4 linked regions of the Arabidopsis thaliana genome follow. The protein of the gene in region 2 interacts with the protein of the main gene of each other region in a pairwise test. Each region holds a gene or a part of one and is shown on either strand. Other genes may lie near its edges.

Region 1 (9,301 bases), on a different chromosome or scaffold from region 2:
AAGACAAGTAGGTTAACTAGAACATCCTTAATTTCTAAACCTACGCACTCTACAAAAGATTCATCAAAAGGAGTAAAAGACTAACTTTCTCCATTTTTTCCCCAAATAACACAAAAGAAGAAGTTGAAAATGGCAGTGTTCAAGAAGAAGAAAACATCATTGACATCTCTGTTCTTGGGGTGTTACAAGGCAAAGAACGCAAGCAAATACGAAGGAGGGGAGAAGGCTGTAATGAAAATAAGAACTTGTCCAGCGTTCAAGAGGCTGTCTTTATCGGACATAAGCGATCCAAGCTCGCCCATGTCGGTTATGGATGATCTCTCTCACTCCTTCACATCGCAGAAGCTTCGTTTGTTCACGTTGTCTGAGCTGAGAGTGATTACGCATAATTTCTCTAGAAGTAACATGTTGGGGGAAGGAGGGTTTGGGCCGGTTTACAAAGGGTTTATTGATGATAAGGTTAAACCGGGTATCGAAGCCCAACCGGTTGCTGTAAAGGCTCTTGATCTTCATGGCCATCAAGGCCATAGAGAATGGCTGGTAACATTTCTTTCTCTTTATGTATGTTTTTGTCTACATTCAAGACTTTTCTATTCACAAGGAACAATTTAATTACGAAGACCGTCTCGATTATTTTATATATTTTTTGAATTTTGGTTTATCTTCTTAATTAGCTATATGAATCTGGCCATTTTTCAGTATGTTATTAAATATATATATCTTTTGTGAAATTTCTTCATAAAGTTTTTTTTTTCAGTGTATACAAAATTTATTTTTGTTTGCAGGCGGAGATATTATTTTTGGGACAACTAAGTAACAAACATCTTGTGAAGCTGATAGGGTTTTGTTGTGAAGAAGAGCAAAGAGTTCTTGTTTATGAGTACATGCCTCGAGGTAGCTTGGAGAATCAGCTCTTTCGAAGTACGTCATCTACTATATTTTTACCTAACTTGCTAAAAGTTGTTTCAATTTTTGCTATATATGTTCTAGACCGCGTTACAAAACATTTTTTCTGTTTAAACCTAAAAGAACAACTCCACGAAGACTTTAATTACGTTTTAGTTATAGAATGACAAGAATAAAAAATATTGAAGAAAAGAATCCATATGGTTCACGTTAACTTCGTCAAGTTCTTACTTTATTTATGGGTCGTACACTACATTAATAACTTCTTAAAAAACTATATATTTTTTATAATTTAGATAATATTCAATAGTATTACTAACTTTGAAAAGTGTGTGAATTGGGACAGGAAATAGCTTAGCAATGGCTTGGGGAATAAGGATGAAGATAGCTCTCGGAGCCGCCAAAGGTTTAGCTTTTCTCCATGAAGCAGAGAAACCTGTCATCTACAGAGACTTTAAAACCTCTAACATATTGTTAGACTCCGTGAGTTTTTTTTTCCTTTTTAAATTTTGTATCCACTATTAAATCAAATTAAAGTGGTATTTCTCAACTGACTCTTTGATATTTCAGGACTATAACGCCAAATTATCTGACTTCGGTCTAGCCAAAGATGGACCTGAAGGCGAACATACGCATGTAACTACCCGAGTGATGGGAACACAAGGTTATGCTGCGCCCGAATATATCATGACTGGTAACATTTTTGTAAGGAATTTATTTCTTTTACCGTGAAGCGATATTCTTTGAGATATGTCTTTAATGGTTTACATGTGTTGTAGGTCATTTGACGACGATGAATGATGTATACAGTTTTGGAGTAGTTTTGTTAGAGCTGATAACCGGAAAACGGTCAATGGACAATACCCGAACACGGAGGGAACAAAGCCTAGTGGAATGGGCGCGGCCTATGTTAAGGGACCAAAGAAAGTTAGAGAGGATAATTGACCCGAGGCTCGCGAACCAGCACAAAACAGAAGCGGCTCAGGTAGCTGCTTCCCTAGCATACAAGTGTCTAAGCCAACATCCTAAGTATAGACCTACAATGTGTGAGGTGGTTAAGGTCTTAGAGTCTATCCAAGAAGTTGATATTAGGAAGCATGATGGCAATAACAACAAAGAAGGAAAGAAGTTTGTTGATATAAATAAGTTTAGGCATCACCGTAAAGGCAAAAGACGTGTGAACATCGCTTATTCAGATTCTCTCGTTTACAAGGAATCCAAGGCAAAGCAAAACGATGGCATTTGAAATACATCATTTTCTCATATGAATTATTAAGCATTCATATTCTATGAACGCAATTCTTATCTTAAGTTATGACCATTCTTCCAAAAATTTGAAGGAAAGAAAGGTGATGTTATAAGTATCCTAGTTCTCTGGTATTTTAGATTAATTTCCTTTACATAATTCAAAAATACTTTGTACAAAAGAGTCATGTACAAGAAATATAAAATAAATGTTTGTAAATCATATATATATACACCAGTTTGTTGGGCGGACAACGTTGAAGTTATTTCGCTCTTTAAAACATAGTAGATGATCACTTGGTTGGTTATTATGGAGATTGGAATTGCAATAAAATCAAATCATGTATGGTACGGCAGCTACCCCTAGATTATTCTTGGTGATTCCAATGAAATTATGAGCTCCTCGGAGCACTCTCGTTTTCAAGATTACATATGAAACCGTTTGGGTATATTTGAGTTTCAGAATGCTGTATAAATGTAATAAATTATTAAATTTTTATATTTATTTTATCTATATCAACAATAAGTATACTTTTTTCCCTAGATGACTTAAATTCAAAGCAAATTAACAATAACAATCAGTTTGAAGATTATTTTTCCTAAATATAAATATAATTGTATAAACTTTAATTAGATTTTTAAAATAATAAGCTAATTCAGGATATTCAAAATATATAGAGAAATCTTATTAAAAAAAAAAATTAGTTGAAAGGAAATAGTTAACCTAATAAAAGCAAGTAATCAAAGCCCAAAAATTTACAATTAAAACCCTTAGTGATAAGGATTAAGTGTCATTAGTAGTTAATAAATAAATGTTGTAGATAGATGGAGTCACTAAAAAAAAAAAAGGTCAAAACGAGAGGCGCAAGGTTTGGTGTCTTGTTAAATAAATCTTGTGGTGCTCGTGTTACCTCTTTAGCCAAACAACACCCCCAAACAATTACTCTTATAGAGAGAGTAGAAGAAGACGACGCTTACCCCAAAACTCGAATCCCTAGGAGGTAACAGCTTAAGCTCTCCGATTACCCCAAACTGCAAAATTTCTCATCTTTCTCTCTCTTTATCTTGTTTTCAACAGCAGCCTTTACCTTTTTCTTTTAACCTCTGATCTTGTTATCTTCCATGGATCCATTTCCTTAAAGGTTTGCTCTTTCTTTCAGAGATATTCTTATCTCTACGAATCTCATCTTGATTTGGGTTCTTCTTTTTTGTGTGGTTTAATAAATCACAAATCTGTTTTTTTCTATCTTGGATTTACTTAAAAATCTTGTTTTTAATAAAGGGTTTTCTTTTATTTCAGTCATTTAAAGATACCCTTATTCTAGAATTTAGTAGTTGTGTTTCAAATTTTAAGTCTTTATGTGTTTGTCTGGTAAGAACTATAAAAAAGCTGCAATGGGTTTTGACTTATGAGTTTGTAGCCACTGAAAATGTATCTCTTTTTCTTGTTTAGGTTTTGGTAATATGAATTGAGAAGTCCACGCACGTGTGTATCTCTATTACCGTCAGGTGTGTTACCTTTCTTCTCTGAGTAATTTGTTTGATTAAAGCAAAGTATTTTGCAGGTTTCTTCTTTGAGTAATTTGACTTAGAAAAGCCAAACTCTTTTTTTTGCAGATTTTGGTTTAAAAGCAGTTATTTTTACTAGTCTTGTAAGAATGAGTTTAACAAAGAAAGCAAGTGAACCAAAGCTAAGTGGTACTAGTATCAAGCCAACAACTTTAAACCCTCATGCTGCTGAGTTTGTTCCGTTTACTCTACGTTCTCCTTCATCTGGAGGTACAAGTACTTTGGATACAAGACTTTTAGCTTCTTCTAGTTCTGTTGGGAAAGCGGTTTTGGACAGGACAGAATCATCTGCGTCACATCATTCAGATGAAGAAGCACGTCAGTTCTGGAGTCATCAACTTCCTGATGATATAACTCCAGATTTTGGGTTGATGACTCAAGATGACAATTCTTATGGATCTGGTAGTTTGTCACTAGCTAACTTGTCGTTGTTTGACGGTAATGAAGCTGAGAAGTTTCCTTCTGCTAGTGGAGGATATGGCTTTTCAGATCAAACTGGATTAGCTTCACATAATGCTAATGGTAATAGCTTGGCTGATAAGAGTAGATATCCCATTTCTTCATTTGGGGAAGATCCTCAGCGACAGAGTTTCATGCAACTGAGTCCAAAGCCTTGGGATAAGCAAATCATGAATGCTGAGCAGCTTCTTGGGAATGACAGGGAAAGAAACCCTTTTAGTGGGAAATCTCGACATGGCTTTGTTAACGACATGATTACTGAGAGTCCAGGGGATATGGAGGTGAACCCTGTGGATTTTCTCGCTTCTCAGTTCCCCGGATTCGCCGCTGAGAGTCTAGCAGAAGTTTATTTTGCTAATGGGTGTGATTTGCAGTTGACAATTGAGATGCTTACTCAGCTTGAGGTATTCTCCTATTCAATATATGGCATAGCTTTTATTGATGTTATGTTATTAAATTCTATGTTTATTTTCTTCTCTGTATAGCTACAAGTGGATGGTGGCTTGAATCAAAACATAAGCCCTAAGACTTATGCTCCTCCTAGTCTAACTCCAATGGATTTTCCTGCACTAAGCATCTCAAATAGCCATGGTATTCCTGCCCAGTTTGGTGGGGATGATTTGCAACAAACTGGAAATCATTACCAATCTCCTGAAAAGGATAACATGTTCTTCTTCAAGTCGGGACCATCGGTTTCTCAGCCTGGTGCAATCGATTATGTTTCTGCTGTCAGGAAGTTAGCATCTCAGGATTCTGGTATGTGGAAATATGAACGAAATGATTCAGCAGACTCATCTATTGGCTCTAGCAGGAATTCTGGTGCTTACAAAAGTGGCCGTGGGAGGAGTATATATTCTGATAAGCTGCAAAGTCGAGCCCAAACTCGACCTGCTCCTGTTTGGGTGGAGACCGGGGATGCTGTTGGTAAGTTTCTTCTTTTAACAAACTTTATTGCATAGACAAATAACTATATGAGTCTTGTTATACATCTGTATTGAACATATGTTATCTTATTCGACGATGTTGCATTTCTGGCTCTCTCTTTTATCTGGGGATGAACAGGCAATATGTATTCTGAGTTACGCGAGGAAGCACGTGACTATGCACGTTTGCGGAATGTGTACTTTGAACAGGTATAATATACTTGGAAATGACATTTTACTCATTTATGTGGCCTCTAGTTGTTCTGCAGACCTGTTGTTTTTTGCAACTGGGAAGTTCCATTTGGTACATACCTGTCTATTAATGTTAAGGCCGTGTAATGTGGCCTAACCTTGAGGTCTATTGTCCAGATTGATTTTTGGAAAATACTTCGGGTGTATGGCGTAGTGAATCATAAGTATTTGGAATCTTGCGTGCAATTTATGATGATAGTTTATAAAGCTTTTTGTCAATGATGGGGTTTTCACCGGTTTTATTACTTCGACGTCATCTTATTAACCTGTTATCTTTCTGTCTTAGTCATGTACGCTCAATATTCTATGTTGCTTCTGGTTGAGCGTAGGCACGACAAGCATACCTTGTTGGGAATAAGGCCTTAGCCAAAGAGCTAAGTGTTAAGGGACAGTTGCATAATATGCAAATGAAGGCTGCTCATGGGAAAGCTCAAGAAGCCATTTACCGCCAGAGGTTTGACTTCTTTACCTGCACTGCATCTCCTTGTAACATGATCTTTTATCCGAAACACACACTGATATCTCCATAAATGAAAAACAAAACTCCTGTTCTCAGTATCTCTGTTCTAACCTGCCTATGAGTAAAAAATGAAACAGGAACCCAGTGGGTCAAGGAAACAGTAGAGGGAATGAGAGAATGATAGACTTGCATGGGTTACATGTGAGTGAAGCACTTCAGGTGTTGAAGCACGAACTGAGTGTGTTGAGGAGCACAGCTCGAGCAACGCAAGAGAGGCTTCAGATTTACATATGTGTAGGGACAGGCCACCACACAAGGGGTTCCCGCACTCCGGCTAGACTCCCAGTTGCTGTACAGCGCTACCTACTCGAAGAAGAAGGTCTTGACTATTCCGAACCACAGGCCGGTCTCCTTAGAGTCATCATATACTGACAGACAAAAGCCAGGTACTTATATAGGATACAAGACCGGAAAAGAAAACAAAAAAAAGGAAAGGTGACCACGCTATTCATTTGTTGTATCTGATCTGTACATGGGAAGAGAGGAGAAAGAGACTAGCTGAAAATGAAGAAGGAAAAAAAAAAGTGTTAGGAAAGAGATCCGCAAGAAGGAAGGAACGAAGGCGTATGCATAAAATGTTTAGGTTTGTTCAGTTAATACTTTTTGTAGCATCAGAGGATCGATCAGACCTCTTTCTATCTTTTTGTCGGGATCTATACGATGTTTTGTTGATTCTCGGTGCTTTTTTTTTTTTACAGTTTTACTCTATATGTTATACTCCTTTCTTCTGGAAATGCTTATATTTGTAATTCTCTTAGATTTAATGTGCATCACTAAGTTACAAATTCATGAGTCAAAAAGTAAAATTTTGTACTTTAAAAAGCTTGTTTCCAGTTATGTATTGTAAAAGAGAAATCAAGCTCTAATCATAAGCTCATAAACATTACTGTTGTTCTCTCCATTCACTCGCTTAAGCATTTCGAAACTTTTCCTGCTTCCTAATAACTCTATTCTTGGGAAAACCAAGCATCCTTCATCTGATGTCTCTTTGCTGCAATACACTGTTCTGAGACGGTCAGCGTGCCTCGAGTCTGTGTGAATTGCAACTTCTATTTCATGATCCGGCAAGTTCTCCTGCAGAATCAATAGACACAAGAGATCTTCTTATTGTGAACTAAACGGTAACATGGGCCTAGTGAGTCAACAGAGATAGTATAAATACTAATCACTCATAAGTTCCTAACTAAGACGAAGAAATTGATTCTAAAGACTCTCCTTTTCATAGCAACTAAAAGGAACTGAAACGAGAAATTGGCCATTCGAATATGATGGTTATACCTGGTAAAATCTGTAGATATAGTCTAAGATTTGCAGGCAAGTGAAACCACTATCACTGAAATAAGTCCGTGAAGAAGGTCCCATCTCCGAGAACCGATCAGCTGGATATAGAATTGTAAGGAAGCTGTCTTTAAATATCACTTCTGTCTTCTCACTGCAGAAGAGCGCCCAGGAAGAAAAAAAAGATAGTTGACCACAGTGAGATATTTCCAGGATTGCAACAATGGCAGCAATAGATAGTAGTAGACTATCACTGGAACAATTTACTTCTAAAGTAGCCATGTAAAATCTAAAAAATGAAGGAAAAGAGATGTACGAAGAACGAAACAGTACCTCTCGGTTAGTGCTCTGGTTGAATTTGAAAAAGAAGCCACTGGATCTAACCCTTTATCTATCCCATCTTGTACAACAGAAGGCTGGGGTTCACTGATGTCACGACTGCTGCTGTCAGTAAAAATAGTGGCGGCTGAAGCTGCTTCAGATATTGTCCAGCAAATATTGTCCAGCAGGCTGTACTGTGTTATGCGTCTTATTGGGTTTTGGCAAGTCTATGGGACATCCAGAAAGAGAACAGACAAATTCAGACACTATGGTGAATTTAAGACATCAGGGAAGAAAGAGAAAGATCATCAGTTACCTGCATATGGCGAGCACGTCGTCTCCTAACCCCCGTTTTAGCTATATTTACAGTCTCTTTCCGTTCTTGTTTTGATAAACTTCTGGATTTAAAAGCCTCTTGAGAATTACCTTGCCCGGAAATTTTCTGTGAGATTTATACAGAGAAAGGTCGCAACTATTACTCTCATCACTTGAATTGAAATTACAAGACGGGACAAGGAAACGTAGGAAGACTGAGAAATTATGTGCAAGGATAGAGAATGGGAAAATTAACTTGTAAGGACAGTAGAAATCACACCATATGAAAAGATAAAGTACCTCATTTGCCGCACCATCTTCAAAATTTTCAAGCATTAATCCTAACTGTCTAGCTAAATCAGGTGACATGTGTACAAGTCTTTGTCGATGTTTCTCCACTGTTTTCAGAACCCATAGTGGCTGATGCAAGAAAAAAAAAAACGAAATTAAGCATGTTAAGGTCATCATGAAACAAATCTGTTAATCGACTAGGATTATCTTTCTCATCTAGCTCACTATGGTCAATAGTATGACAAAGTAACAGAGCAATCAAGTCACATTTACATGGGATTGTGTATCAAATTATCCACATTTTCATAGAATATCAAAACAAGCGGAAGTACATCTTCTGGAGAATACATTACAATTCTACAAAAATGACATAAAGAAGAACTCACTGAGACAATGGTTTTGGCATGGCCAAGGTATCTCTGAATAGAAGCACCTTCACACACGACAAAACTTGCATTGCAACCAATAAACCATGAATCGATGACCTTTGCTCCTTGCTCTCCAGCAACCTTTAACACCTAAACAGACCACATTCTATTTAAAGAAGCTCATAGAAAAGACTGTACAGCCTGGCCAAAAAGTTAAAAGCACCCAATGTGATAAATTACCTTAAGGCGGAGTTCATCTGAAATGTCTGAATCAACATACATGCAATGGTCAGCAAGACTCATGTCTACACTAGTGCCAGACTCTGTTCCAGAAGAAGATACTTGGTGGTTCTTCGTTGATGTGCCAAAATGTACAGCTTGAATTTGTCGAGGACGACAAATAGTTTCGAGGTCAAAAACCCGGCTCAGCTCATCCCCCTTTTCGCAATTTTGTCTAAGTTGTTTAACATTGTAAAGTGATTCGCTCATCCTGACTACAAAATTACAGAAAAAAATATCAACTTCAGACACACATAACCTTTTAACTTAGTTAGAATATCCATGAGCTCTCTTTTCCAAAGTAAATTTGTTCTGATTGAGTTTGATACACTACAAACGAACTGAAACTATTTAGACTATTTCAATATCATGCTGATAATAGATCACAGAATATCTTTAGCAAACTAGGAGAAGCCAGTGTAGGACTGCTGACTAGAAGGTTTTATTCCTCTAACAATAAAGTTGAAAGAGTCAACACAAAGTCAAGGGTCCATGAATTTGCTAGCAAAGCTTTCACAAATTTGTACCGCTATGAAACTGAGGCAGTAACCAGCAAAACTGAATGGTCAAATCTA
Region 2 (6,050 bases):
AAGCACTGTGGAGAGAATGGCAATAATTACCCATGGATCTGATTTAGGCATCTCAACCGAAGTAAGCACCGCTACCTGTACAAAAAGTCATATGATAACCAAGAAAGACATGTAAACATGAACTGCAACAAAAGAAAAGAATCTGCCAAGAAGACCAACCAGACCAACTACTGCAGATATTAGAAATTTGACCCAATCCATTGGAGTCAGTCCAGGGTTTCTTTTCTCAGGCTGCACAAGACATTAATGTTATTGCAGCTAGTTTGCAATTTTCGCTACAAAATCCAGCGATGCAAAAGGAAAGAAGACAAGAACAGAAACTTACAAGCACAATCTCCATGTCAGCCATAGGAATGTTTTTGAAATGCTTAACGTAGATTCCTCGTTCTAGATTTGTTTTAGAGCTAGCTCGTCTGCAACATCATAAACCACAAGCTTGAACCACAAGTTCACAAAGTTACAAACAAATAGCTGAAACAAGACATACATATACCTTACCTATAAACAACAATCATTCTATCGAATGTAGGCTCCTGTATTGTGAGCTTGCTCAAAAAACTCTTAAAGCTGAATCCATCAACACAAATGCCATTATCATCATATATATGTACAGAATGGCAAAAGTTTGGGTTGAAAGCAAATCATAACATGCGAGGGATACTGATGATAACCTCAGCTTTGAATTCTCAAGGCGAATACGCTCCACATACAATTCATCATTATCTGTGTCAGGGTTTGGCTCATCATCTTTTTTGGGATCTTTCTTGTTAAGACTGCTTGACCTTTTGGCGCGTAATTTCTCTAACCTGTGATCTAAATGTGTTAAGACCCAACATGTAATCAAATGCCTAACTTTTTTTACTTGTATTGAACTTTAAGAAAGACTAGACTGGGAAACGTGTTCTAACCTGGTGATTCTCATGAGAAAGGACCAAAAACGTGAAATGATCACATCCAATTTCTCCATGAAAAAATAATCTGTGGTTTTATCCAATCCAATACCACGTCTGAAGATGACATACTATATAAGAAAAAGGGTAAATACTATATCAACACATGTCGCTACATGACCATCAAGAAAGTCTTTAGGAAACTATAATCTTGAAATGCTCATCTACAGACAAACTAAAAACTGTACCTTATCAGAAAAATCTGGAATATTTTCATGTGGATGCTCCTCAAAATACCTCTTGAGCAGCTTCTTGTCAAGCTTCATCCACCAAAAGCAAGAAAACTATTTTATAAGAATCCCGGCAACACACAAGCATTAGTGAAAGTTTGTTTAAACAAACCTTAGACTCATCAACTTTGATGGGAAGATTGAGAAGATACTGCCCAGAGTGTGCAACTTCCATCTCTTCATTACTTGTTATTTTAAAGTTGCTCTTCTCCATAACCTTTATAAGCGGGGGGAAAAAGAGGCACATTTCAAGAACAATGACATAGATAAATATAAGGGAGGAGATAATATCCTAATCAAAGAGAGTAACCTGAAACAAGTAAGCTAGGAAATTTTGTTCAAGGACATCAATCTCTTGAGAAGTTAAGTTCTGCTGCTGGATTTTCTGAGCACCGTGTACAGGATCAAACAGAGAGTATAGTTGCTGGAAATTCAAAAGCGCATGATAAATGAGAAAGCAAAGCAAAACAAGTTTGTAAAAGAGAGATTTTAAAAAGGAAAGAGGTTAGAGACCATGAGATCTTCAAATTGAAGAAGATACCAAGCTCGAACAGTGTACTCAATTCTCTTACATAGCTTAAGGAACTCTTGTCTATCATTGCTATGTTCTGCAAAAACACAATTTATCCGACCAAATTTGTAACCAAACAGAGAAAGGGCCAACGATTGTGAAAAAAGCAAAATTTGGGATTTGGGTTCAAAACCCGAGAACAGGGAAGAAGAAATTGGAGAAACTGACCAATGAGATTAGCCAAGGTCATGATGAGTTTAGGTTTGAGGATAGGGATGACCGATTCGGGCTCAAGACGAATCACTTCCTTATTGTGTTGTTCCGCCATTTCAAAAGGATCGAATTTTTGGGAAATCAGAAACAAAGGAGGAAGAAGAAAGAAGAAGAAGAAGAAGAAGAAGCGTAACGGACCCTGAGGAGGAACAAAACTGAAGCGTTCCAATGAGTTAATGTCGTTGAACTCGACCAACGAATCATCAGCCCAATGCTTTTTTCTATTTCTTGCTTCTTCTCCTTTTTTTTATTATAAATAATAATAATAATCAAATAATGTGATTTTTATTCTTTATGTTATGTCTTAAGTCTAATCTTCTGGTTGATCCTCCAATCATTGTATAACATAAGCTTCCTATATCATAATACATCAGCCTCTGTTTCTCTTAAAAAAAAATCATGTAGAGAGTACTTAAACAAATTCCTTGCCGACATTCAAAAGAAGAATAATTTCAGACCAATACCAATGTTGTGACTTGTAGTAATGTTAAAAGACCAACAAGGTAGGTAGGTCCTCTCACTTATTCAATCTCCCACAATATTATTATCTCTCTCATATAGCCAAAACCCAAACAGTGCTTCTGTCTCTCGTGTGTTTCCTATTTCGTTTATATGGGCTATATAAATTAGGCCCATGACATTATATGGGCTTTCACATCCAACTAAATGGATTATGGATTCATAGCGCGTGTGTTCACTGTCTCCTTTTAAACGCGTGGTTAGATCAAAGTCTCTCAGATTTCTTACCTTCTCTTTTAAAAATGCAAAAGATTTCTTACCTTTTCTTTTTTTGTGCAAAAGATTTCTTACCTTACAAAATTAAAATAGATACAGAGAATGTTGACTTGGTGAGGATGGAGGACACGTGTCAGTTTTTGATTGAGTAAGCTATTACTCTCCTAGATTTCTTTCTATTCCAATGTATAAATTTGTAACAAACATTGGATTTTGTCAAAAGTACCACATTTTCGATTTTTGTATATTGTAAATTGTGAAATTTTCAATATTTTTATTTTAAAAATCTAATTTTAAAATTCATGCACATTAGTTTGTCCCAAAAAAATAAAAAATAAAAGCTCATGCATTATAAGCCAATCACACTACCTTGTAATGTTAATTCTAAGAGTTAGATAATTTTGTTATTTGTAGATATACAAAACAAATGATTAAAAATACATTTAGTAAATTTTGCATTGTTCAACATACGTGCTAACATATAGCCATTGTTTTTCGACAAATCTAAAACCAAAATTTTATACTATTTACATAGAAAAAAAAAATAGGCATACGGTGTTATATCATTTTTGTTTTAGCTATATTATAGCGCGTGGTTCACACACATGATCTAAAGAGCGTGTTGAATCCCCAATTATTAAAAAGAAAGAATATTGGCATTTACCTAGATATTTTGTTTTGGTTTTGTTATATATAGCACATGAAATCTTATTCATCAAAACACTAAATTTTGTTTCTTCTCTCAAATATATCGTCGTCTTCATTGCTTAAGTCATGAATCGTTTATGCTTTTTTAACAAAGTTGTAAAAGTTGCCCGTGGTGATTCACCTCCTTTTGATCTTGCTTCTTTACCTCCCAAAGAACAACGAGATGTAAAATTGATTTTGCTTACTTTAAGATTGCAGCTACTTACAAATATAGTTTATGTTATCTTTATATGACCTAAATTTCTCTTTTTTTGTAGTTGATTGGTGAAACTTTGTTCTTTATGGTGGAAGAACTTGAGCCACAGTTTGCACCAAAAATCACAGGAATGATTCTTGAATTGGACCAAGACAAGGTCCTTCATCTGCTGGTAACACCTAAAGCCTTCAAAGAAATGGTCAAAGAGGCAATGGAGGTCCTAGCGCACTCCTTTCTGCAACAGATGAAAATTGCTAGGGGAAAAAGATGTTAGCAAGTTCCTACCTTCCATGCTCCCCGCTAAACTTTGAAATGTTTGTTTGGTTTTTGTTCATTAATATGAGCAACAAAATGTGGCTTTAAGTTGAGTTTTAAATCTTTGTTTTCATTTAAAAAAAAAAAAATCATATGTTAGTGTATCCAAATGTTTTAAGACAATAATAAAAATAAAATAAGTTCTGCTTCGTCCAAATAATTACTAGAGTGGTTATAACTGATGTTTTAGTTAAGTTGAATTTTTAATTTGTAAACAATGTATCCCTTAGTAATATCTAAACTTCTTTCTTTCATATTTAATCTTACTTATATTAAAATATATATATATATATTTATATTCTATTAAATAAGAAAAAAATATATATACATATATATAATAGTAATAATTTATGTTGATTTCAACTATATCGATAATGTAAAGCATGACTAAACACTAAATAAATGATATTTTTAGTAGCCCGTAAGATATTTTTATTATCATGTATTCAAAAAGTTTTAATCCAAACATATTTATTTAAATATTTAGATTTATTTTACTTTGTATGATGTAAGTAGATAATGTTTAGTTTTTATTTTACTTTGTATGATGTAAGTAGATAATATTTAGTTTTTACCAACCAATCTTTTTAGTTGCTAGTTTTTTACCAACCATATATACCCTCTATCCTTTTTGTATTTATATCTTTTAGGATAAAAGGCTAATAATAGTTTGATTTACTTTGTTAACATATCTATCATATACATCAAGTGTTGCTTCAAAACATAAAACCAAGACATGGAATTTTATAATTTATACTAGTATTCTCGTTGTATCATAACTTATATTTAAATTTGTGTTTGTTGTAAACAATCGAAAAGCATATAGAATTCGTATATATTTTATAATAATAAAGAAAAGGAAAAAACAAAATCGAGACAAATGAATAATAATCATGAAAAAATGTTTTTCATATGTTCTTATATATTTTCAATTTGATAAATACCGAATAAATGTTTCAAAGTAATTTGACTTTTTAAGTCAAATAAAATCTCTAAATTATAACAGTGAATCACAATAGACCAAATCAATCATAGCAAATAGATATGATTTATGAAAAAATGAGAACCTAAGTTTTAATGTTATACGATATAATTAGATAATTTAAAATATATGCATAATATACATATACTATTATTTTTATTTAATGTGTTGAAGGATACAAAATTATTAAAACCATAGCGATTACGTAATTTATTCACTATTCATCAGTTTCTTAATCCAAAAGAAAAAAAAGAAGAAGATAAAGAGGTATTTATATATCAGATGTTCAAAAACCCTAAATCGCGTTTCTTCTCTCAAATCTGCCGCCGCCATCATTGATCCAGGTATTGCTCTAACCTTGACTCTTCACGTCATTCGCATATTACTCTCCTCCTCGCTGATCCATTCGAATTCTGCACTCAAATCGTGTTTTTGTACATCATAGTTTCAAGCATTATGATTCTCTCTAGCCAATGACTTTTCTTGCGATTGAATCCTTTTGCAGTCTCGTTATCAAAAGTTGAAGAATTTAGTTTAGTTTGGTTGTGTAGATAAGATTTGTAATCGCAAAATTCGATCTTTGTTACAGTTATGGATTCGAGTTACTCTGATTCTCGTCCCATGTTCGTGCAATCACCTTATGGTGGTTGGAATCAAACACAGATGATTGATTCAATGGCTAATCCAATGAACAATGAACAAGGAGACTTGCATTCACTATCTGAATCACAATCACAATCTCAACCGTCTCAGCAATTACAGCCTGCATTGAAAAGGCCTAGACTTGTTGATGATAACTTGTTTAATCCTGCTTCGTCGTTTCCTCAGCCTTCGAGTAGCAATCCTTGGATGGTTCCATCTTTGAACCCTCCTCCTGTGAACAAAGGGACTGCTAATATATTCTATAAGACTAGAATGTGTGCTAAATTCAGGGCAGGGACTTGTAGGAATGGTGAACTCTGTAATTTTGCTCATGGGATTGAGGATTTGAGGCAGCCTCCGTCGAATTGGCAGGAAATTGTTGGACCTCCTCCTGCTGGTCAAGACAGGGAGAGGGAGAGAGAGAGGGAAAGGGAGAGGGAAAGACCGTCTTTGGCGCCTGTTGTGAATAATAATTGGGAAGATGATCAGAAGATAATCTTGAGGATGA
Region 3 (8,075 bases), on a different chromosome or scaffold from region 2:
AAAGTCATTAATTAGTACCAGCAAATTGTAATATAACTTTTTTTTTTTTTTTTTTGCTAAGTGAGTAAATATCATATAAAATGAAATAGAGTTGGATTTATATTTTTGATTACCTAAAGCTTTGGTTCCTTGGCAAAAAGAAAGAAAAAACAAGGAAGCAAACAATTATAATAACCAAAAGACAGAACTATCTGATCCACAATCTCATAAGCGATCTAAACTTTCTCCGATGACACCTTGCGTTGATGGAATTGATGATCTCACGGTCTATATTCTTGAAGATGATAGACGGTAGAATGTCTTGTAAGTTATGCAAAAGGTTGTTTCTCTGCTTCCAAATAGCACAAACAGTGGCTTGAGCAACAAGCTTCCTAATGATGGAAGGAGAGGAGGCCGTACTTAACTTGATCCAAGATAGTAAGCTTTCCCAAACTCTGAACTGAACAGGCTGCAACCTAAGCCTAGCCTGCACCATGTTCCAGATTGAAGAACTGAATCCACAAGTGAGAATAAGATGGTCCCGGGTCTCAACAGACTGAGAGCATAAACAACAGAGAGGTGAGATCTGCAGACCCCAAGAAACCAACCTCGCACGAGTAGGCAGCCTATCGAGATTTGAAATCCACATATGAAATGAGTTTCTAGGCGTTGCACCTTTAAACCAGATAAGAGGAGCCCAATCCTTTTTGTCTTCTCTTCTCCTCAGGACCTCCCATGTTTTAGAGGAAGAAAAACCATTACAATCCACATTTTGAACAACCCAACCATAGGAATCTGCCGAGTCCGTTTGCAATGGAAGGGCAATAGTTGATAAGTAAGTGTGTAATTGAAGCTCAACATCAGAACGTGGTGATGGCAAAATCCAACTATTTTCCACAATAGCTTTAGAAACAGAGGACACCACAGGGATCCGCAATCTCCTTGGACCCTCTTCACCTAGAAACTTAATCAGTGGCCCAAAAGGAGACCAATTGTCCCTCCAGAAACTTGCATTCAACCCATTACCAAGATAACACTTAATAAAACGTTCTGCGAGTGGTCTTAGGCGTATGAGGCACTTCCAATTCCAAGTATCCTGCAATCTTTTCTTTATGAACCAGTAATGTCTATGCCAAGCGACCCAAAGAGAGTTACTATTAGAGAATAAGAGCCAGATGAGCTTTAGACTAAGTGTAACATTCCACTCTGTGAATCTTCGAAGGCCTAGCCCCCCTTCGGATTTTGGCAAGCAGACAACAGACCAAGCCACTTTTGCTTTATTGTAATATAATTACAACAATTTTGACTTTTTGTTTTTTTTGTATGTTTTGGAAAGTACAAAAGATGTCAAAGCTTTACTTAGAGATGACAGAGACGCTCTCGAAATGCGCAAAGATGGATCAACTCAACTGGTGTAAGTCCAACTAGCCACCACATACGCTTGACGTGTGATACTTGCAAATTACAATTTCATCCTTTAAAGTTTATTTACCATTCGATTAAAAATACAACTGAGCAAGTTTACTTGTCATGATAATTAAAAATTTAACATTGACCAATTCAAGAATTTGACTGTCTGACTGATATTAATGTGTTTGCTGATGAAAGGAGAACCAAAAGAAAAGTTAAAACTTAAGAAAAAAATACAAATATTCAGGGTAAAATTTAAAAATTTCCAAGATTCCTTTCTTTATTTTATTCAGATTTTGTTTTTTGATAATTCTTATTTAAATCCTATCGAAAACAGAAATTTGATTTTGTTTTGAGTTGACTACGAACATAGACTAAACATGGGAAATATCCAAAAATTTAAGGTAAAACAATAAATTTCTAGATTCCTCATTCTCTTTTTTTATAATTAAATTCAAAATTGTTTATGGTAATTATATAATTTATTTCTAGGACGACTTTTGATTCCCGACGTTAACATGAAAACATAAAAACTTTGAACATAAATTTATAAATTTAATATCTCAAAGAAAATATAATTAAAATTCTCAAAATTCTTCATTTGTTGTTAAAATTTAAATATGTTTGTGACTAGTATAGTTTTATAATCTTGATATTCTTCTGATAAACATGATTCACGTTTCCGAAATTTAAAATGAAAATAGAAATTGACTTGTTCAACTAAGAACACAGACTTTCATGTACCTAACACTTTTCTCGAAGACGAAAACAATTAAAAAAAACAAAGAAGGACAATAATGTAAATGCATAACTCTAAAATGTAGAAGAAACTTTTAAGCACCAAAGCAAGTTTCTAATAACTTCAGGGGTAAGAGTATAAATAACTAAAAAACAGAGACAATCTTCAAAAGCCTCTCTCAGTGTTTTACTCTTCTGCTCTGTGTAAACTACTAAACGTAGGAACCCAAATCGAAAAAACTCTCCCTAAGAGATTTACCCAAAAGCAAAAGGCAACAGAAGCATCATCAAGCTTCTAGCATTACATACGGGAAAACAGAAGAACCAGAAGTTTCAGACAAACATTCTTTACATGTCTGTGAGGAGCAGAAATATATATAAAACTTGTAGCTACGGTTAATGCATTTGATGTCGCGGGATAGCACGGGAACGAACCGGTGTCTTTGATGGACTCACCCTGCAAAATCCAACCACCAAAGTACGATCAATGTTCAGATTGATGATCAATTTAGAGAGAATGTTAAAGAGTAAGTGTTGGTTTGTTCTTGGACCTTATCGGTAAAGAACCAAGAAGGACACCACTGCAGTTGAGAGCCGCTATCGCGCTTTCAGCCTGCGGAAGAGTGAAAAGATCATACTTAACTAATGAAAATGCATAAGCGTTATAGTTGACAAATGGAAGGTTGGAAGAAAGAGAGATAACAGAAGTATTTGCTTACCATGACAAACTCCACGAAGCCGATGCGAGTTGGATGATGATAATCGCCCAGTAGCCTCAGACGGTACACCTCGCCACACACAGACTCAAAGAAGAGTTTAATGTCGGTTTGAGTGAGCTGTTGAAAAGTGAAACTAAGCAAAGTTAGCAACATTAAGTTTCAGAATAGTTTGGCAAAGGAAACCAATTTATTCGAGTGAGAGTCACCTTCTTGTCAATGTTAGTGCAGTAGATAGTTCTTGCACACATCTCACGCTCATCTTCAGTCTAAGAACAAAGACAGGACTAAAATCAAACCTCTTGAGTCTAAAAAACCATAACTTTGCAGTCAGAATGTGATGAAACACAAGAAAAAACCTTACCCTTGGCAAGAAGGTTGGGTTAACCGGTGCAATAGCTGTCTTAGACGGCATAACCTTCACAGGATAGAATCCAAGCATCGTCCCAGACAAATTCAGAGCAGTCCTTGCACCCACTACAAGTCCCAAAATGACAAACCATAAACCAAGCACTTACAGGCATTATCCAATAAACAGATTACATAGAGAAACTAATGATACCTTCATCAGTGAACTCGATGAAAGCAAACCTAAGTACTGAGTTGGGATCACCACATATACGACAGTCAACAACCTAAACAACCAAATACAGTCAACACCATAACACAACACAAACAAAGATGAACTTTAAGAAGTTGCTTAAACCTGTCCAAAGCCGATAAACAAACCAGCAAGCTGCTCCTCAGTGACCTTAAACCCAAGAATAAGATTACTAATAAGTGATTATACACTAAAGGCTGAGAATGAACAATTGAAGAAAGGTGGAAACTTTTTAAAACCTGTTGGTCAATATCAGACACATAGACAGTTCTTCTTATGATCTCTTCACGCTGAGCCAAACTTGTCCTAGGATTCATTCTCCGTTTCCCTTGTTGTCCGAACGACTTCTTCTGTTTCAAATCAAATCATTTTGACACATAAAGGTGAGATTTTTAAAACTCACAAACACACACAAGAAGAAACAGAGAAACCAAAATGAAGAATCATCAAAAACCCTAAAGAACAATTTGATTCAAAACCCCAAAATCACAGAGAAGAGAGAAGAGAGATGTTCTTACCCGACGAAAGCTACCGTCTTCGTTGACGGGGAAATTTCCGGCAGCAACAAAGCCATTATTAACGGCGAAGAAACCGCCGTTAAAACCATTAACAACTGGCTTAGTAAGTGAAGGAGGAATAAACTCTTTAGCCATAGGATTAAGCTTAGACAAGAGCTCGTGAAGCTCTCTCATATCACGCTTAAAACTCTCACCACCGTCGGATCTCGCCACGTGGACTCCGATCTCATCATGGATTCCATTTCCACCGTGATCGTTGTTAGAAGAAGCTCCTGATTCTTGACTGGTGACGGAAGACGGCGGCGACGGCGAGATCAAACCACCAGCTTCCACAGTAGTATTAGCTCCGACGCTCTCAATGACCGCCATGATCACAAAATCGAACAAAACCCAGAAATAAAAATCTGATTTTTGAGAGAACCAACGATCAAGTAAAGAGATTTGAGGAATACAATGAAAAAGGGAACAGTGGCTATAAGAAGAGAGCCACCAAGAAAGAGAAGAGAGAAGAAGAAGAGGACAAAAGAGTAATCAACCAAAGGATTAATGGTGATTAAATTTTGATTAAATGAGAAATATTAGCGAGGTTCGTTGAGAAAATGGTTAGAGATCTGATTTTAACTTTTTTAACCGTGGTGAAAAAGTTAAAACGATTGGATAAAGTAAAACAAATCGGTCGTACTACAGAGAAAAGATCACGCTCTGCAATTTTCGGACAGAGCTAGATCATAGCAAACCTGGATCTACAACTCTAATATTTATCCAGAAAATATATGTACATTTTTGGCATCATATATTTATATCACTAAAACAAAACGTATGTACTTATTTTATTTATTTTTACTTGTCCATCACTCATCAACTAAAACATATATGAAGAGACTTTTTTTATAAAAAAGATACAGATTTTAATTACATTTTAATCAACCTTCATATAAGTAATCTACAAGTTTCCATTCTATAGTAAAAAATAACATAATAATAGTTGAGAGTTGGGATTAACGTAATGATATGGAGAATCACGAGTCACGACTAGTAAAACAACACATGGCACAAAACGAATGCATAGTTTTCTTTAGGTGTATAATATGTTTTCTTAAACAATAAGCTTTAACATTTCCAGAGGGAGTATAACACTAGGTAAAGACTTGTATAAACTCTTGTTTAGTATGACAGTTGAAATTAGTTTAAAATTTATTATATTAAGATTTATACATTTGATATATGTATTATGAACAGATAATTAGTGAGACAATATAAATTTGTTGAGTGTGATTATATTTTGGCGACTTGCCAAATCTTAATATTCGAATTTCAATATAACAATTTTTATTATAAGAAAATTATTTTTTAAAAAATATTATATTTCTGTTAATTTATGTGTAAATGCTAAGTAAAAGTTAAAACAATTTTTGGTCATATAATCCTGATTTATATTTTATTTTAATTTTCTAATTATAACCATGCAATGCATTTCTTCTAATAAAAATTCAAAACATCTAAATTTGCTGATGATTGTTTTTTGAAATACATACATTTGGTAACTTTAGATATTAAAAACCGTTTATGTGTGTTTGGTAAGTAGTCTTAAGAAAATAAAAATAAACTGTATTTGGAATCAAAAGTGTTTGATATTAAAAATGCTAAATTATACAAAGAAAAAAGTAGTTGAGAAAAATTATAGAATTACGACATAAACACTAAAAACCCAAAATTATTTTACCTTGTACATGATTATGCTTTACAACATATTTGTCATGAAAAAGGCTAACATTTAATCCATCTCGTTTTAGCGTTTTCGTAAAATCAAATGAATCTCTTCCCTCAATTTTTTTTTTTTAAATAATATTCTTAATATTTTATTATATTGAAAAATTATCAAAGAATCTCTTTGCACATAATTATTTACTTTTCATAAATCCAAGAACTAAGAATCAATTCTTTTTCTTTTCTGATAAAGACTAAGAATCAAAATTATAAAAAGTAAAATAACATATTATATATATATATATATATATATATATATATATATGAAACATAGAATGGCCCATATGGATAAACATGAGTTAACTAAAGCATCACTTACTGACAAAACAATGACAATGACATTACAAATTCAGAATTATCCATTACTCTCTCACTCATTATTATTTACCTTTCTCACTGCAGGTAAATAAAAGAAATTACCGTGTAGCCTAACCAGTAACCACCATATTCGTACGGTGGTCGAAGCAGTTACCAACTTACCAGTTCCATCACCAGCTTTACAGCTATAACGACACGTTTAAAGCTCTTTTATTTTTTTTCCTTGGAAGTATAAGAATAAAATAGAGATGCTATTTTGATTTTGACTAATTTTGATGTCATCCTAATTTAAATCTGAATTACACCAAATTATGGTTATATGTATGGTGTACAATTAGATAGAGAAATATCCTAAAATACAGTAAAAGAAATTTTAGCTAAAAAGATACTATTATTTTGGATTTTTTTAAAAATATTAAAATAATAAAATCTATAAATATTTCATAAATCATAAAATTAAAATTTATGGTATGTTAAAAAAAAATTTTGGATTCTGATGGAAGTTACAGAAAATAGCATAAAATGTAGTATATTTGAGAATTAATCAATTTAGACATGATGTATTCAATACTTTTTAGAAATAAGATCCATAGTGGTTGTAACATATCTAGTTATGTAGGAGACACTTAAAAAAATTCAGAAATAAATTGTAACATCCCGATTTCAGGATATATAGTAGTGAATGAAAAGAGTTTTAAAAATTAATTAGATCATCTATATCCACGAAATGCACTTATCTTTTCGATTAAACATATCGAAAAAACTTTACAGTTAAGCATGTTTGTGCTGGAGCAATTTCATGATAGATGATCTACCGGAAAGTGATTTTCGGTAGTGTTTGAATGAGAACAAAACACAAAAAAGAATCATATATAATTTTTGAAGACCGACAAACAAATCTTTAAAGCCTTCAAAAATAGCAAACTGCTCGTCGAACAAGAATAGGCTTTACATATAGTGGCGGTCAAGAATTAAACAAATACAACATCTTAATTGATTTTGTCTACATTATTTTAAATTTACATTACCATAATTTTTCTTCTTCTAATTACCCCTATGTTTTATGCTGTTTCTATGAGTTGAAAATCAATTAATCCGAACCAGTTCGGAAATAATATACATGTGTTTTGATTTGGTATCTGGTTTTGTAATTATTGGGGATAAATTTAGCAAATCTACCTAGTTTTTTCGAATTTTTGTACATCTTCTTAAAAGAATTATTGTGTTTTTGGAATCAAAGCTGAAAATAGTGGTTTTAGATTATTCTTTTAGTTTAAAATGCTGCCTAATTGTTTATGTTATCGACGCAATAGCTACCAAACTCTTGTCTTGTATTATTTTCCGGAAATCGAATCATGGTACTAGACATCTTCTAGTTTCCTAGCAACCACCAAAATACCAAATCTCATTTTATGTTTTGTCTTTTTCCTTCGAAAGTTATTTGGTATCACCCGAAATACTTCTCTTTTGTTAGAAAATAAAAACAAATACAATTTGGGTTTAAACAAGAAAAAAGCTACATTTGGGTTGTTTAAACAAAAACAAAATATATTTTGAGAGGCCCATATCGGGAAGCCCATCTTGTGAAGATACAGCTAGAGAAAACATTTTGAAATACTCCAAACTCCGTAGTAAACAGAAGATCACGAATTAATGTAAATAGATTAATGAGATGTAAATAATCTGAGTTCCTTACCGAAAACTCACTTGTAATTTTTTGGTACTTTAAGTTCATTAAACACAAAGATTATATAGCTACCAATATTGAAATCACCGTAGAAAAAAAAATACGAAAACAATATTTCGCATCCACATATACATGATTTTAGTTTAGTAGTTAAGTACTGAATAATTTAAACAACACGAACCAAAACTTATTCAGAGCAAGGATTGAACGTAACAATCTTATCGTAAACCTCACCAAAGTATTTGGAGGAAGAGAATTATAACAAACATTCTTTTTTTTTTCAAAAATTATAACATATAATAAAACTTATAATGAAAAAATTATATATTGGGGATATGTGT
Region 4 (8,118 bases), on a different chromosome or scaffold from region 2:
ACGAAAAAGCTAACGCCCAAATTTTGAGTACTAGTTCAAAAGAAATGGGTACCGTTTTAAGTAGAGGCAAGATCTAGAGTACGATCTATAAACTCAACCGGCGATGAAGTTTTTTAAGAAGTTTGAAACCTGAGTTCTCTATTTGTAGCTTTGTGACACCTCTAAAACGAGCTTGTCCATGAACTGGTATTTCTTATCAAATCCCCAACCTGGATTACTCTGCATTGCCAAAAGTATTTCAGAAAAACATCAATACCTCTCTAGAGATATCTGATAGAAAGAGAGTAATGTTAGATGAAGAGTTTGAGTGTTTAGTTAAAGAGATCAAACCTTAAGAGTAAGAGCTGCACGATCTGCAAATCGTTTCACGGAATCAGGTGCACTTGCGGGAAGCGTTGTAGCAATTCTATCGAGTTCCTCGTTCTGTTTCTTAGCAGTTACACGATCAGGACCACTGTAGTGATCAACAATCTCTTTCATAAGGGGAGCCTGTGTCATCGCTTCATTAATTGCTTCCTGCAGAAAGTGAGAAATTCAAGTGATCATCAACTGAAACAAAATATTGCGTCGATTCATATAAAAACAAATTCACAAATTGAACACTATTACCTCCCATTCTTCTTGATCCTTGATTCCTTCGTAAGCCACTATGAAAGGCTTCACCTTCTCAAGGCACTCACGCAGAGACATTGGTGGTTTCTCATCAATGTCAGGATTTGATCCAAAGTCTGGCATAATGTATTCAGGCTCACACTCAATCTGCAAACCAAAATAGATAGAGAAAACTAAGAGACTCAAAAACCAACAAAAAGAGCACTTTCTCCATCGCTCCTTTGACTGAATGACCGATTTCACAATGAAAGAACAAAAACCATAGAGGCTATTATAAATCTGAAAATCATACAAGACGAGATGGTGGCCTACTTTTGTACATTGTGCATATTTCAGTCAAACAACTTCAAAGCCACCACAACCAATTCTACCACATTATAGAGTATGACTCAATACTAATACTATTGCTACTCGAGAATTCAATATTCCTAATACTATTTGAAGTTTCAGTGTTACCATTCTCAGTAGCAAGTTGTATACTTTTCTAGACAATTCATAGAGAAAATAAAACACAGAAACATTTACCATGAGATTGGTATCATAAGCATCTATAATGGCATCGTGAGTAGTAGAAGGCAACGCCTTTTCGCAAATTTCCTCAAAACCTTCCGCAAGCGTTTTCATCAATTCAGGTCCCATTTTCTCAGCAAACTTCTCTCCATCAGCTGAATCTCCAGCAAATATACGCATAGCCTCTTGTTCACCTTCTTCTTCTTTCTTATCATCTCTCCATCCATCACCACCTCTTCCTCTGCCTCTCCCTCTTGCTCCTCTTCCTCTCCCTCTCCCTCTCCCTCCTCTTCCTCCCACACTGCTTCCTTCAGCTTCACCACGCGAAAGCTCACTCCTTGCTCTTCTTCCAGCCTCTTCCGCACTCAATTGCGGCTTAGGAGTTCCATCTTTGACCGTTGGAGCCCGCTTCTGCTGAGGTTGTACTCTCTGCTGCTGCGGTGGAGGCGGAGGGCGTCGAATTTGGCGGTTATCTTCTTGTCGGATTGGAGCAGATTCCACAAGAGGCTTTCCTCGACCTGCTCCACTAGGATGTGAAAATTCGTTTCCTAATGCATTGAATATGTTATCAGGTGGATCAGCTTGACCAGGTTTAGACTCTGGTGGTGGTGGAGACGAAGTTGCGTCCTGCATCTCCTGCAGCTTCACAAATACAGGACTTCCCTGAGATTCATCATTAGGCTGCTGCTGTGGTTGCGAACGCGGCTGCTGCTGTTGTGGTTGTGAACGCTGTTGCTGCGATTGAGACTGTTGTTGCTGCGGTGGAGGCGGCGATTGGCGAGGAGGTTCAGCAGCGAAAGGTGAAACGGTGTCTGATCCAACGGATCCTCTTCCACGGCCAATACTAGGAGAATCTGATTTGACAAATGACGTAAACGCAGGAGAAATCGAATCAGATTGGATCGGACGACCACGACCATGACCATAACCTCCGGCAGATGACGGTTCACGTCCAGGAACCACCGGTTCACGATTTACACCGAATTGTCCTCTTCCAGCGGCGGGAAATCCTCCATCTTCACCGGAACCGCGTCCACGACCACGGCCGGAGGAGTCGGAGGAAGAGGAGAAATGAGATGTGGATTGGGTGAGAAATGGAGTTTGTTTGACTAAGGATGCAATGGTGAAGCCATTAGGGTTTGAGAATCTTCTTCCTATAGCACTTCTCATCTGTGAGATCTCTTCAAATTTCAAGAACTTTCGTAAACACTGGCGATTGAGGATTTGAGGGTTTTGAGTTACTGTGTTAATCGGAAAATGGGGGTTTTCCGAAACGTCGCCGTTTCTGTTGACTTATTGCTGCATATTTGTAAATTCATCCCTGTAGTTTGAGTACCTGATGGGAAGAGATTTATACTTTTCGATTTGTCGAAATCCCCCATAGTTATAGACATTAGGCCAAATTCAAGCACATTACAAAGAAAATGATCCAAAATTTAATTTTGCAGTTCCATCCCTGGATTTTGATACCTGACGGAAAATGAAATATACTTTTCCATTGACCCAAAAACTCCTATGAAGAGAATGATTATGCCAAAACTTAAGCGTTCAACACTTCAACATAAATAGTAAAATCTAAAATCTCCTAAATTCTAAACTTTTTTAGTTAAGAACCAACAAAAATGATCAAAAAAAAACCTTTAAAGAAAGATGATATGACTCAATAAGTCAAAGAACTCAGAACAAGAACTCAAAATCCAAGAAGCATGTTCATGGTTGTTGTCTTTCCAGAAACTACATAATTGGAAAACAACTGCTCTAGAAAAAGAAAGACAACTGAAAAAGAATAAATAACTGAATATTGTTGCATCACTCTCCTTCATCAACAAAGCCTCTGTTTTCTCCTAGTTTGGCGATGGTGATCGAGTGATTCGCGATCTCACTGGTGTCTTTGAAGGGCTTACCCTGAAGAATTCAAAAGATTTCATTTCAAATTGTTTTTATATTCAATGAAAGGTTTGTCACAAAAGAGAAATAATGTGTGTACCTTATCGGCTGAGATCCTAAGACTATTCCGCTGCAGTTTAGCGCTGCAACTGCACTCTCTGCCTTTTTATCCCGTAAACAAACGCATATTCAGTTGTTAAGTAAAAACTAAGCCTTGAAAAGTTCAGCTTTACTTGTTAACACTAACAAAAGAGGACACAGAAGCTGAGTTTTAACAGGAGTTTACCATGGCAAATTCAACAAAAGCTATGCGAGTAGAATGCACTTGGTCACCAAGAAGCCTTAAGCGAGTAACCTGTACAGAGAGAGAAGATAGAAAAAAGTTGAATGTTATTGTTGTTTTACAAATTTCATATTATCTTTATGAGAGCAGAAAAAGCAAGTTTTCGGATTCTAGACTGACCTCACCGCAGGCAGACTGAAAGAAGGTATTGACATCATCTTCAGTGGCCTGCAATTTATAGGAATCTCTCAAATCCGAGAACAAGTATGCAAACGCAATCTAAACTTTAACGGAGAAAAAGTATTTACATTCTTGTCAACATTTGTGCAGTAGATGGTCCTTGAACACATCTCTCTTTCATCTTCTGACTGAATAAAACACCAAAGGAAATAGTGGAAACCATCATTTTTGTTTCTAAAACTGTAAGCTACTATGCAGGCTGAGAAAAATGGAACTTCTTGTTTTTTACCCTGGGGAGAAATGTGGGATTCACTGGAAGAATAGCAGTTTTTGAAGGTAAGACTCTAACTGGGTAATATCCGATCATTGTTCCACCAAGACTTAAAGCCGATCGTGCACCTTCTGTTTTTCAAAACAAATTCATACTAATGTAACTCAAACTTGACACTTGAATTTTGTTTGTAAAGAAGATTAAGTAAAATCCAATAGCTTTAACTTACGGTCATCAGAAAACTCAACAAACGCAAAGCGAAGAACTGAATTCGGATCCCCGCAGATTCGACAATCAACAACCTTCAGAAGAAGAATGTAATATTAATTAACAAACAAAAGATGAAAACCGGTAACAAAGCTTATAGATTTCAACTTACTTGTCCACAGCTGCTGAACAAGCCAGCAAGGCCTTCCTCAGTCACCTATTTGAAAAAAAAAAAAAAAAATAGGTGACAATGTTGAAAAACTGAATCTTTTTTCTGAAAATCTAAAAAGAGGGTTTAAGTAACTTACACTCTGATCAATGTCAGAGACATACACTGTTCTTCTAATACTATCTTCTCTTTGAGCCTTAGAAGCTCTTCCAGGTAACCTCACTCTCCTCCCTTGGTTATAGTTGTTTCTTCTCTGTAATCCACAAAGCCAAAACAAAAAACAGACAATTTACCAAAACTCTTAATGAAATGTTAAGTAACGATCATATAAGAGTTGCAAAACTTGACAATGTAACTATTAGCCAACCAAACCAGATCAAAAAACAAAACTTTCTATATGAAACTTCAAGCTAGAGACTTTCCAGCACAAAGACCTAAACCCACTTAGAATGAAACCTCATTTAGAGGTCAACCAAAAATCCAAACTTTACCAATCAAAATATAATCAGAAACAGAAGAGAGATTGTACCCTCCGGTTAATGGCAACCTTTTTGTTGTCTTCACCAGATGGCTTTATAGCAATCACAAAATCGTCAGACTGATTAGTATTCCTCTTGTAAGAAGGGAAAAACTCCTTAGCTTCAGGATTGAGTTTCTTGAACATGGCAACAAGCTTCTTCATTTGATCATATTCCGGTTTGGATTTGGGTTTGAGGTCATCCGATTCGATTTCCGGTTTAGAATCCGTGCTCTTCTCAATTCCGTCTCCAGTTCCACCATCGTTGATTACGTCATTTGAATCAGTGGCCATCTCAGTGATCGCAGCCATTAATTAGATCAGAAAATTCCAAAAAAATATAAAACAACAAAAAGGATCACAATTCAACAAAAAACAAGAGACAGAGGAAAGAAAAAGTTGCGAACTTTTCCTTCTCTCTTCAGTCGAATTTCGTAAAAAAGATGCAAAATTTGATGAGATTAATCGAGTTTTATTGAACACCCATTTCAGAATACGAGAATGCTTAATCGTAGACAATATATAAATCTAGTGCGGTGGTTTCAGAAGGTGGCGATGGATGAGAAGAAGAAGAAGAAGAAGGAATGATGGGTTTTGGTTTGTTGCTTAGGCCTTTTTCTAGCTCAATCAAATAGACCAAAACTCTCTAACAAGAGTGCTTCTCTTTTTTTTCGGACTAAGATTTTTTTCTTAATTAATTTCGTCAAATGTAAAATTAAAAAGAAAAGAAAAGTTATGATTCTTTATTATTTTATGTTCCTCTTGAGGGCCTTTAGATAATTACATATTTTACACATACACCAGTTTATTACATTTTTTATATTGAAAAAAATCTTTAGTAGTTTTAGTACACTTTTTTTGCTAAGAAATATATTACACATTACTAATATTATTATTTAATATAATTGTTAAAATGTTATTATTTTTGTTATGGATATTAGATAGGGTGTGGTCTTTCATATGGACTGCATTGAAATGTGTTATTTTTTAGATACTGTTAGTTTGACACATCAACAAAATTTTGATTATTTTATAAACTTTTATTTTCTTCATAATTGCAAGCAATTGTTATAATAATTAGTCCATAAATCTTTGGATTCGTTGGGGGATTTTTTCCTTTTTTTAATATATTTTTTAACTATTGCTGGGATTTTATAGTTCCACTTTTATAATCTGCTTTTATTCTATTTTGTTATTTTATTTTACATTTCAATTTTGGTTTGCAGTTACTTTTGTATTGATATCCCTAATAACAGTAACCACACAACAATATGATAATTTTCTGGTTTTTCTAATATAAAATTTGAATGGTTTCTCGTCAGGAAAAAAAAATACAAACAAAAAATGTAAGACTTTGCAACGATGTATTAAGTGTGTAATTTGTTTTGCATTTTTTTATTGTTGCATAGAAAAACTATCAATTTCTTACCAAAACTCAAATTACAAATTTAGAGTTTTCATAAATTTAAACTCACTTCACTTCTTCAGATTACGAGTTTTAGTGTTTAAAATTAATGAGTTGGTCTATAAGAGCTTCGTGTGTTGGGGATTTGAAAAGATTAACCAAAGCTTTGTAAGAATTTTGCACCCAAAAAAAAAAGTTTTTGTAAGAAGGGTGAATTAGCTGTATAGCCATATTAGGACAAAAAATTAAAAATATAGCCATATAATTTACGTAATTCAGCAAGTAACCAAAAACTCTAACTAATTACAAGTCTATCCCTGCATTATTTCCTTATTTTCCAATTTGCCATGACTCATCATCTTCTTCGTTTTGTTGATCAGATATTGATCTAAAGGTAATATTCTATATGTTCTAAAGGTAATGGATTGTGAATCAGATATTGATTTAAAGGTAATGTTTTTTTAACAGACCTTTTTCATTCATCATCTTCTTCGTTGCTTCTTCTCTTCTCTCCATCCAACAGAAAATTTCCAGAAAATTTAAATTTTTTATATCAATCCATTCTAATTTAAAAACATCTATTGATTTAAGAAAACTAAACCCTAAGATACTATATATGGAACCCAAACAAAAATAATTAAACTAAATGAAATCATCTCAAGTTTCAGTTTTTAGAAATCTGACAAAATCATGTTTATATACTTTTAATCTCTTTTCTCCTTTCCTAAAGCGAATTGAAATCGATTCGATTTTGGGTTTAAATTTGTGTTAAGGATTTTCAATTTTATATATTGATCAAACCAGAAAATATTCAATAAGATCTTGTGAGTCTTCGTTTTCATTTTTTTTTTGTTCTAACTAGCAAATAGAATGGTACAAAATTGAAAGTAAAATAGAAAACTATAGTTCGGTTCTGTTTTAATTAAGTTAAAGTAGAAAAAAAAGATGAGAGGCGAGAGAGGTGAAACAAGCAATGGAAGAGAGGAAGAAGTGATTAAGGTGGTGGTGGTGTGTATGGTGTAGGTCGTAGTAATATTTGTGTTGGTGGTTGCAGTGGTCGTGTGTCAATTGCGGCGGCAATAATGGTGATGATGGTAGAGATGACAGCGTAATGGTAGTTTCTATGGTGGTGACGATTGCAGTGGTGATGGTGATGATGGTATGACATTTGTGGAAATAGTGGTGGATGCAATGATGATGACGGTTACAAGGGTAATGGTTGTAATAGCATAGAAGAGATGGTGATTGTATAGTTAAGGGTACTTTAGTATATATTATAGTTTATATACAAAATGTCTCTGTTTTTTTTGTTGGTTAGTTTCTTAATTATAGTTTTTTTGTTAGTCAATTTTGCAAATTTCCCTTTTAAGAATAATGATATATATAAAAAAAAAATAAAAAAATAATGATATTATACTGGGCTTTAATTTTACTGGTCAACAAAAGCCCATAGTCTCTCATTATGTGTTTATGACCCGTGTACCCGACCCATCTTTATAAATTAAAACGGATTTCGTAGAAAAGAAGTTATTTAAAGAGGGATCCGCTAATTTCTTCGTTACTTTTAGTCAACTTTAAAGAGTTTGCTTAGAAGATGGAAAAGTGAGGTACTATTGAATATTCAAGAAGAAGACATACCAAATGAGAATCGCAATATCTTTTGCTGATTTGAGACCAAAACGATTGTTGACTCTAATGGCGGATCGAAGTCGGATCAGAGGCTTTCTTAGAGAAGAACATGTGACGTATGCTTCCATTCTTCTCTACATCACTCTCTCTAGCGGTCAAATCTTCTTCAATAAGGTTTTAAGTCAAATCTCACATTCATATGTTATTGGATCTATGTTTTCTATTTGCAGTCTTTTTGCTCAAGATTTGATTTTATTAGATCTGGTGGACATTAGTAGATTTTAAAGCTTTTAACTTTGACAATCTTGGTAAAGTTCTGTTACAATGCGATTTGGTTTTGGACAAGAAATATAATAATAATAAAATTCTTGTTAATACAACAGTAGGTTCAAATGTATGGTTCAATGGTGAGTTATGTACTTCCATTACACAAATGATTATTCGCTTA

Evidence for each region.
Region 1: the proteins of MPC (region 2) and CID7 interact in a two-hybrid assay, tested with the Arabidopsis thaliana proteins (one study listed by BioGRID).
Region 3: the proteins of MPC (region 2) and CID12 interact in a two-hybrid assay, tested with the Arabidopsis thaliana proteins (one study listed by BioGRID).
Region 4: the proteins of MPC (region 2) and CID8 interact in a two-hybrid assay, tested with the Arabidopsis thaliana proteins (one study listed by BioGRID).

Annotation. Positions count from the first base shown.
Region 1 is NC_003071.7:11,185,088-11,194,388, reverse strand, and holds CID7 (CTC-interacting domain 7), read left to right. Parts: upstream 1-2,991; 5' UTR 2,992-3,152; exon of another isoform or gene 3,153-3,293; intron 3,294-3,604; 5' UTR 3,605-3,660; intron 3,661-3,768; 5' UTR 3,769-3,809; coding exon 3,810-4,583; intron 4,584-4,664; coding exon 4,665-5,103; coding exon of another isoform or gene 5,104-5,138; exon of another isoform or gene 5,139-5,241; coding exon 5,242-5,312; coding exon of another isoform or gene 5,313-5,318; exon of another isoform or gene 5,319-5,683; coding exon 5,684-5,808; coding exon of another isoform or gene 5,809-5,884; exon of another isoform or gene 5,885-5,951; coding exon 5,952-6,246; 3' UTR 6,247-6,663; downstream 6,664-9,301. Other genes in the region: ARSK1 (root-specific kinase 1), read left to right, coding at 130-540, 786-921, 1,253-1,389, 1,477-1,600, 1,686-2,152; AT2G26270 (BRCT domain DNA repair protein), read right to left, coding at 6,730-6,948, 7,153-7,306, 7,486-7,700, 7,790-7,915, 8,089-8,208, 8,466-8,597, 8,688-8,941.
Region 2 is NC_003074.8:6,702,053-6,708,102, forward strand, and holds MPC (maternally expressed pab C-terminal), read left to right. Parts: upstream 1-3,421; 5' UTR 3,422-3,473; coding exon 3,474-3,572; intron 3,573-3,664; coding exon 3,665-3,877; 3' UTR 3,878-4,075; downstream 4,076-6,050. Other genes in the region: AT3G19340 (aminopeptidase (DUF3754)), read right to left, coding at 1-75, 160-231, 326-413, 499-567, 672-806, 909-1,021, 1,139-1,210, 1,293-1,397 and 3 more; AT3G19360 (Zinc finger (CCCH-type) family protein), read left to right, coding at 5,492-6,050.
Region 3 is NC_003075.7:6,553,592-6,561,666, reverse strand, and holds CID12 (CTC-interacting domain 12), read right to left. Parts: upstream 4,686-8,075; 5' UTR 4,332-4,685; coding exon 3,963-4,331; intron 3,795-3,962; coding exon 3,684-3,794; intron 3,595-3,683; coding exon 3,550-3,594; intron 3,479-3,549; coding exon 3,406-3,478; intron 3,321-3,405; coding exon 3,208-3,320; intron 3,113-3,207; coding exon 3,053-3,112; intron 2,964-3,052; coding exon 2,847-2,963; intron 2,741-2,846; coding exon 2,679-2,740; coding exon of another isoform or gene 2,648-2,678; exon of another isoform or gene 2,585-2,647; coding exon 2,524-2,584; 3' UTR 2,065-2,523; downstream 1-2,064. Other genes in the region: AT4G10613 (RNA-directed DNA polymerase (reverse transcriptase)-related family protein), read right to left, coding at 188-628. UniProt on the Arabidopsis thaliana protein: Binds nucleotic acids in vitro.
Region 4 is NC_003070.9:20,026,296-20,034,413, forward strand, and holds CID8 (CTC-interacting domain 8), read right to left. Parts: upstream 5,325-8,118; 5' UTR 4,949-5,324; coding exon 4,649-4,948; intron 4,373-4,648; coding exon 4,259-4,372; intron 4,168-4,258; coding exon 4,123-4,167; intron 4,046-4,122; coding exon 3,973-4,045; intron 3,875-3,972; coding exon 3,762-3,874; intron 3,661-3,761; coding exon 3,601-3,660; intron 3,521-3,600; coding exon 3,473-3,520; intron 3,365-3,472; coding exon 3,296-3,364; intron 3,172-3,295; coding exon 3,110-3,171; intron 3,028-3,109; coding exon 2,967-3,027; 3' UTR 2,628-2,966; downstream 1-2,627. Other genes in the region: AT1G53645 (hydroxyproline-rich glycoprotein family protein), read right to left, coding at 139-219, 331-516, 610-759, 1,138-2,292; AT1G53655 (uncharacterized protein), read left to right, coding at 6,462-6,491, 7,096-7,206; AT1G53660 (nodulin MtN21 /EamA-like transporter family protein), read left to right, coding at 7,683-7,844.